Coturnix japonica: one gene and its partner. The protein of the gene in region 1 purifies or fractionates together with the protein of each later gene. This does not show direct contact. Links are inferred from orthologs where the notes say so. Each region holds a gene or a part of one and is shown on either strand. Other genes may lie near its edges.

The links. Proteins that work in one complex are often made in the same cells at the same time.
Region 2: the proteins of LZTFL1 (region 1) and BBS7 purify together in Homo sapiens (affinity purification with mass spectrometry; 3 studies listed by BioGRID and IntAct, counting the BioPlex papers as one, with this or other methods). This does not show direct contact. The link is inferred for Coturnix japonica from reciprocal best matches to the Homo sapiens genes LZTFL1 and BBS7.

Annotation. Positions count from the first base shown.
Region 1 is NC_029517.1:39,361,499-39,364,856, forward strand, and holds part of LZTFL1 (leucine zipper transcription factor-like protein 1), read left to right. Parts: intron 1-911; coding exon 912-977; intron 978-1,114; coding exon 1,115-1,192; intron 1,193-3,300; coding exon 3,301-3,358. UniProt on the Homo sapiens protein: Regulates ciliary localization of the BBSome complex. Together with the BBSome complex, controls SMO ciliary trafficking and contributes to the sonic hedgehog (SHH) pathway regulation. May play a role in neurite outgrowth. May have tumor suppressor function.
Region 2 is NC_029519.1:48,256,558-48,260,813, forward strand, and holds the start of BBS7 (Bardet-Biedl syndrome 7 protein), read left to right. Parts: upstream 1-1,409; 5' UTR 1,410-1,513; coding exon 1,514-1,549; intron 1,550-1,620; coding exon 1,621-1,686; intron 1,687-1,814; coding exon 1,815-1,877; intron 1,878-2,502; coding exon 2,503-2,678; intron 2,679-3,146; coding exon 3,147-3,333; intron 3,334-3,880; coding exon 3,881-3,953; intron 3,954-4,256. Other genes in the region: TRPC3 (short transient receptor potential channel 3), read left to right, coding at 469-611.

The sequences.
Region 1 (3,358 bases):
TGACTGACTGTTGAGGTACTTCTGGAAAGCACCTGTCACTGTTTTAGATGTCACTGTAATAAACCCCAGAGTGTAAAGCAAAATGCTAAAAAATAGATTTTGTAAAGCATCTTATGTTTATTATGTGATGGTGGACTCTCATATGTATTACTGTATTGAACTTCCTTTTACAAAGATGTTTTGGGCTCTTCAATGACTTATTTTCCAATTTAATTAGTGAAATGAGTAGAAATCAGTACATAGTTTATGTTTTAAGAGGCTTACATTGCAACAAGGAAGTAAATTAAAATTTGAGTCTGGCTGAAACAGTTCTGTTATCAAACATTAGCTATGCAAGTCAGTCCTATTTCATTCAGTCCAGCATCTCACCACTCTCATAGTGAAGAACTTTCCTCTGAAATCCAACCTAAATCTTCTCTCCTTGTCCTGCTGTTATCTACTCTTGTAAAGAATTGACTCCCCTTCTGTTTGTAGGCTCCCTTTAGGTACTGAAAGGTTGCAATGATCTGCAAAATATTTACATACCTACTGATTCAAAATACAAGTGAATAGCAGTAGAGAAAACTGTATGTCCAGATGCATAGTTTGGTATATTGGGAATCTTGATACTTACAGGAGAGTGACTGCACCAATCCCAATTCAGTAAACTAAGGAGTAAATTTAAGTGAGAGAACCTGCAGGTTACAGCAGAACTGGAGACTTAGATTTTTTGCTGACAGAGGCAGGAAACAATAATTTGTAAGGTAGCCTTTACAAACGAATCAGTAGTCCTTATCAGCAAGGCCTTTTTTATAAGCATTTACAAGCACAGTTGCTTTCCTATGCAGTGAAACACATTTTCTTACTGGAAGTATTTGGAAAATTCAAAATAGCACAAGTCTGTAAACTCTTTCTGTTTTATTTACCCAAAGACAGTTGCTTGTCTCCAAGAAGAGAATGAAAAATTGAAGACCAGACTTAAGACAATAGAAACACAGGTAAATTTCCTGTAAGCTCGGATGCTTACTGCTGGTGATATATCTTTACAAAATCTAAATTAGAATTGCATGGATATTATTCTCATGTTTTTAATTAAAACACATATACGAGGTGTTACATTTTCCATGTGTTACAGGCTACAGCTGCACTAGATGAAAAATCCAAACTGGAGAAGTCACTGAAGGATTTGCAGATGATCCAGGGAGATCAAAAGGTAAATATAACTAGGATTTGCACTCCAGTCGCTGTTCCTTTACGCTATTGCTCATGCATCTAAAATGTTGGTCTGCATGGTATGTTTCTTTTTCTGGCAGATAGAAAACTACAGGCTAGTATTGTGTTCCTGCTAACATTGTCATACACGTGCTGCTCTGTCAGTCAGCAGATACTGCAATCTGCTGGTTTATCTTATGACATACATTTTGTGTCAAATAGACCACGGGTTGTTCTAATCAGAAGTGTCATTCCAGGTACTGTCAGAAAATAGTATTCCAGAATACATATTCTTAAGATCGATGCCTGTATTAACAGATACAAATATAGCTGTGTGTTCCTTCCCACTTAATCTCTTATATGGCAACAATAAAGCACTAATTCAAGCATTATCACATCCAATATCAACATAGACTTACTTCATCTCAGTTCAGACTTTATAAACCTAAGAGCTTACAGATGTGTCCTGATCCCATATTCCTAAAGATTAGTTGGAGTTTTGCTACAAAAGGCAGTGAGCAGGGCTCAGGTGACAAAGCTTTGATCACCTTTTTACTACTTGAAGTTATTAACCTTTTGTGTAAACGTTGATTCAAACATGGCGATTTTTTTTGCTGCAGAAAAAAGCCTAAAAAGTCAGCACTCTTGTAAGTTATATTTTTATCCATACCCTTATTTTGATCATTAGAATTTTCCAAAGTGTGTCATTTTGCAGTTGTTTCTTAAATCTGAAACATTTCAGTGCAAACTTTTAGCAACATTAGAGCACTTCAATCCCATTGTTTTGAGAGTCTCTTGAATTCCAGCTGTATTTACATTTACAGACTTGAAATTCAGTATCATAAAACATTTCCACTTTGATTTCCTTATTTTAATCTTCATTTCTTTTTATTTTGCTTACTAACTGGTTTATGGTATGTACTTGTTTTTCTTAGTACTTATCACTTATATCTAGTAACTTTCAAAGTCTGTATTCAATAATACTGTTTAATAGGGAATTTGATTTATAATATAAATCAATATATTGAATATATTTTCTTTATGTGTTTCCCTAAGCCTTATATTATTAAAGGTTTACTACTAAAGGATTTTATTAAATCCTGGGCAATGGTACTTGTAGTTTTAAAAGATTGGAAGCAAATCTATTCCTGCTTTTCTGGTTAAATATGAATTTGCCTGAATGTCAGGGCAGCCAAGTACCTGCAGCTTTCATATTCAGACTTACTTCTTATCTGTCACTTTTTTGTCCAGCTCTCACTCTGTGTGCATGTGTATGTGGTTGAAACCAGCTAGGAAATATAGCTCTAATGTATACAACTTCATTTAATTAATGGATGTATTAGTTATTTGGAGAAAATGCTATATTTTATCTTGGACTCGATCTCAAAATTCAGAATTCACTTTCTTCTGTGCAGGTACCATTATCAGTTGGTTTCTTACACTTAATACAAAGGAGCAGAGCTTCCTTAGTTCTAGATTTCTCTTCTTTTTAAGGTGCCAGCAGTTGAGCCTCATCCTGACTCCCTGTGGTTTTGAGAGTACGAAATTTAGCTTTTGTACCTGGGAGTGGTTTTTAAAACGGAATCCACAGAACAGTTACATGAATATGTTTTGTTACCCAGGGCCGATTGCCAGAAGAGTTTGGGTTGTTTCATCTAAGAAGGAAACAAGAAAGCTGCTTCACAGGCTGTGAAGATTCCTCTTGAACAGTGCAGTATCAGTACCTGACTGATAACATAGTCCTTAACACTTCCATCCTTCCCTTCTTGTGAGATGCTTCATTGTGTGGTTTCACCTCACATCTAAAGAAGGGAAACACAACATCTTGAAACATCAGCTGAGCAGAGGAGCCATTTCATCTGTCTTTAAAATGCATTTATTAACAAGTTTTTCCTAGTTAAAAATTATTCAATGCTTTATCCAACTTTGTTAGTTAACTTCCTTTGTTAAATGACTTTCTCACTATAGCACTTCTAGGTCGTGCTTTACAGGAACAGAGCAAATGTAATTCATAAAAACTAAGGCATTCCCTTTTCTGTGGCATTTTGCATCTGATACTTCAAGTATTCGTTTTCATTTAACATATTTTAAATAATTCTTGTTTTGAAGACTGATGGAAACAAGGATATCGTTGAATTGGAGAATAAAGTGGCAGCTTTGAAATGTC
Region 2 (4,256 bases), on another chromosome or scaffold:
TGTCCTTGTGTCAAGTTGTAACAGTTTTAAATTGGCTGACTTTTTCTGATTCAAAGGATGTTGGTAAGGAAGAGGAGAGAGACTCAGAAGCTGTGAGTTTTGTTGCCAGCTCTGCCACACTTTCCCTGTGTGATCTCGGCATATCACTTCAGAAACAAATCTCTTTTGCCTTTTCTCTCTCCAAGGGGGTACTAACATTTACCAGCTGTTTAGCAGTGTTGCCGTGATTAATTCATTAACCTATGTGGAGGGCTTTGATGTTCTGTGTATGTGTGAAGCACAACACTGGAGTTGGTTGGATCTCAGAGAGGATGAGGAAGAGGGAAAGCCTTCTGCCCCCCTTACTTAGCTCTCATGGATGTTCTGGATGAGCAGGGGATCATCTGAAATAGGCACTAATGCGACTTATCATTTAATGAACGTTTAGCAGACTTTGCTAATAAGTATTTCTTTCCATGGTTAATACAGGTGAATTAAAGGAAATCAAACAAGATATCTCCAGTCTTCGCTATGAACTTTTGGAGGACAAGTCCCAAGCGACAGAAGAGTTAGCGATTTTAATACATAAACTCAGCGAGAAACTCAATCCCAATATGTTGAGATGTGAATGATGCGACAAAGGAACCGTGGCTTCGACTACAGCACAACTATTTATTGGCAATAATATTTCAGTATCTCATACTTGAAAACAAAAAAAAAAAAGTATTGTAGATTTTTAGCACTAAATAACTTTATGTACAGCTGCTCTGGAATTTAGTCATAGGAAATTTTATTAACTCGTCACCAAAACGTTGTTGTCTTCATCTTAATCATCTGAAAGTTAACAACTATCAAACTGTTGTGGTTTTTTTTTTTTTGCATTGATGCATTAAGAAGGTATAGAGATGAGAATTACTGATATTTTAGCAGGTTTATGGATACATGCTGAGAATCCTTTGCACTGAATTTGCAAGAAAAACAAATGAATAGATGTAAGGTAGTGTCGTGCTCCTGGCAGCAGCGAGGTGGGAACAGGGTGTTTGAGCGTGTGGTGGATCAGGTAGAGTGGGGTAGGGTTGCGCTGCTGATGGCAGTATGAGCTGAGGAGCAGGTGAGGGTGAGCACACAGCTGCTGTGCCATAATGCAGTGTGTTATTTCCACTGGTGAGGTGTGGTGGAGGTTGGCTGTTATTTTTTGTAACGACATTTGAAGGGACCGTGATCTCAGTCCAAAGCTCCTCTTCATGCGGTAGAAATGATTTTTTTTTAATTCAGACTCTGCGCAGGGCCGGTATTTTGTGACCCGATGCCTCGGATGCTTCATTGTTAAATAAAATATTGCGATACTTTACTGATACTCGGCCTGCTCCTGCTCGGCCCGTGTGGGGGCGGTCCCGCGGCCGTTGCTCACGGCACTAAGCGCAGCGCCGCCCAGTCGCCGGCCACGATTGTGCGGCTGGGAGCGCTGCCGTACGCGGGCGACGGTTGCCGCGGTGACGGGTAACGGCAGCTCGGGGCCGGGCCCGGCGGAGCCATGGAGCTGAGCCTGAGCCGCGTGGACTACATGCAGGTAACCGGCAGCGCCGCTCCCGGGGCCGAAGGGCCGGGCGAGGTGAGTGAGGGCCGCGCTTCCTTCTGCAGGTGGGCGTCACGGCGCAGAAGACCATGAGGCTGCTCCCCGCGTCGGGTCGTAGGGCCACACAGAAGGTACGGGCCGGCCCGGCTCCTCTGGCGGAACGTGACGTACCGAAGTACGGAACTGCGGTTAGCGGAGCGAAGGGGTGTGTAAAAACCCTTCGTGTGCGCTGACGTAACGCTGTGCTCTGCTTTTGAAGGTGGTGGTGGGTGATCAGGACGGAGTGATTACCTGTTTCGGCATAAAAAAGGGGGAACCTGTGGTAAGTGTCAACGTGCTGTTTAAAGGGGGTCTGGAGCACAGGCCTTATGAGGAGAGGCTGAGGGGGCTGGGATTGTTCAGCCTGGAGAAGAGGAGGCTCAGGGGAGACCTTATTGCTCTATAACTTCCTGAGGGGAGGTTGTAGTGAGCTGGGGGTTGGCCTCTTCTCTCGTGTAATCAGTGATAGAACTAGAGGGAATGGTTTTAAGCTGCGCCAGGGGAGATTCAGGCTGGACATTAGGAAGTATTACTTCTCGGAAAGGGTAGTCAGGCATTGGAATGCACTGCCCAGGGAGGTGGTGGAGTCACCGACCATGGGAGTGTTCAAGAAACGTTTGGATGTGGTGCTGATGAATATGATTTAGCTGGGAAGTATTGGTAATGGTTGGACTAGATGATCTAGGTCTTTTCCAACCTTGATAATTCTGTGATTCTGTAAAAACGGGCTTTGTAAAGCTTTCTCCCTAACAAATCCAGAAGGCATGCGGTTAGCGTTGCTTTTTGTCCCCACGTACTTGGTAGTATCCTTAGTTTTGCCAGTGGCTGTAAAGCAAGTTTAGCATCCTTTGCGTGAAAAGTTGACTGTAATCACAGAATATGATTGCGATTGCGTTTCTTCTTTACAGACAGTGTTCAAAACGCTGCCCGGCCCCAAAATTGCCCGCCTGGAGCTGGGGGGAGCTCTTAATACACCTCAAGAGAAAGTTTTTGTGGCAACAGGATCAGATGTCCGAGGTTTCACCAAAAGAGGGAAGCAGTTCCTCTCCTTTGAAACTAACCTCACCGAGGACATCAAAGCTATGTGTGTACAGTGCCTGCCGCTTCTTGTCTCCATGAAGTTATTCTCAATCTATACTTGTATGGGGTTTTTTTAACCTTATTGTGTGCATGTAGGCAGCACTCGGTGCTGCTCTGGCTTTAGCTTGTGCCTTGGCATGTAGGAAGGAATCTGGAAAGTGACGGTGCAATTGGAAGAGTGTGGGGGGGCTTGGAAGGGGCTTGGGGGCCTTTCCAGCAGTGTGTGTGTGTGCAGGTGAGTGTAGCTGGGGTTATTGGCTTTTTAGCAGCATATTCTTTCCATCTGCCCTGCATGTAGGAGGTCAGGAATAAGATTCTTCTCTTGTTTTTTTGTATGTTCTTGGTTTAAGGTGCTTGTCTTGTAAAAGGTGATGTGTGGAACCTGCAAGCAATAACACATTCATATACTAACCTAACAAAGACATGACTGCAAATATTCTGGCAACATGCTACAGTGTTTTCTTTTTCTCAGGCACATTTCAGGAGCAGATCTGTTTCTTTGCGCAAGCTATATCTATAACCACTACTGCGACTGCAAAGACAAGCACTACTACCTGTCAAGAGATAAAATCAACGACGTTCTCTGCCTTCCTGTAGATAAAGTGAATTGCATTACCCCAGTACTTGCGTGTCAGGATAGAGTCCTCAGAGTTTTACAGGTTAAAATATTTGCTTGTTTTATGTGTTGACGCCATAGCATTGGATTGATTCTTATCGAATAAGCATAAGCATAACCTTATTTGTAAGTGTTGCTGTCTACAGTGCTGGTACTTGTAAAATTAGGATTGATTGATTGATACTACAAATAGTCTCTGGAATTCATGGATAGAAGAAGTAAAGAAATTGTTATAAGTGTTTACACAAAGGAATTAAATGCGTGAGTTGTTGTAAGTTTGAAAACTCACAAATTATTGCTGTAGCAAGTCTGAGTGATATCAAATGGTTTAGCAGAATTGTTTCTTAATGCCACATGTCCTCGGATTATTATGTCATAGTTATTTTAAGTGGTAACACATTTCAAGATGTGCTTTTCTTATAGCCATGTTTTAGTTATATGAAGTTTTCTCTGTTTTGGCTTAAAGGTGATTTTATGCAAGAAAATCTGTGTAAATGAAACATGTCCATATTAAAAAAACAATTTTGTCTTTATTCTTGATTTCTCCTTTTGAATAAGAACTCATTCAAGGTAGTTCTCTTTGTCCCCAGGGATCTGATCTACTGTATGAAGTAGAGGTTCCTGGACCACCTACTGTTCTTGCTCTACACAATGGAGATGGAGGTAACAAATAATGGACTTCTGCTGTTTTTGAGATTGTAACGTTTATATTTGTTAATTACATTTCTTCTTGATTTGAAGCTGATTTGAAAAGGTAGTCAAAAACTATGTGAAACCATATCTTACTGCCCATTCTGTTTATAGAATGTAGTTGTAGAGCATCTGTATGTGTTATGGTGAGAATGGAATTTAGTTGTCCCATATACTGAACTGATGAACAACTCTTTGGTGAGAAGGGGGAGTACTTGAAGATACTTGCTTAAATTATTCCTATCTGGAACACTGGAGGAAAAACATACTTTTAGC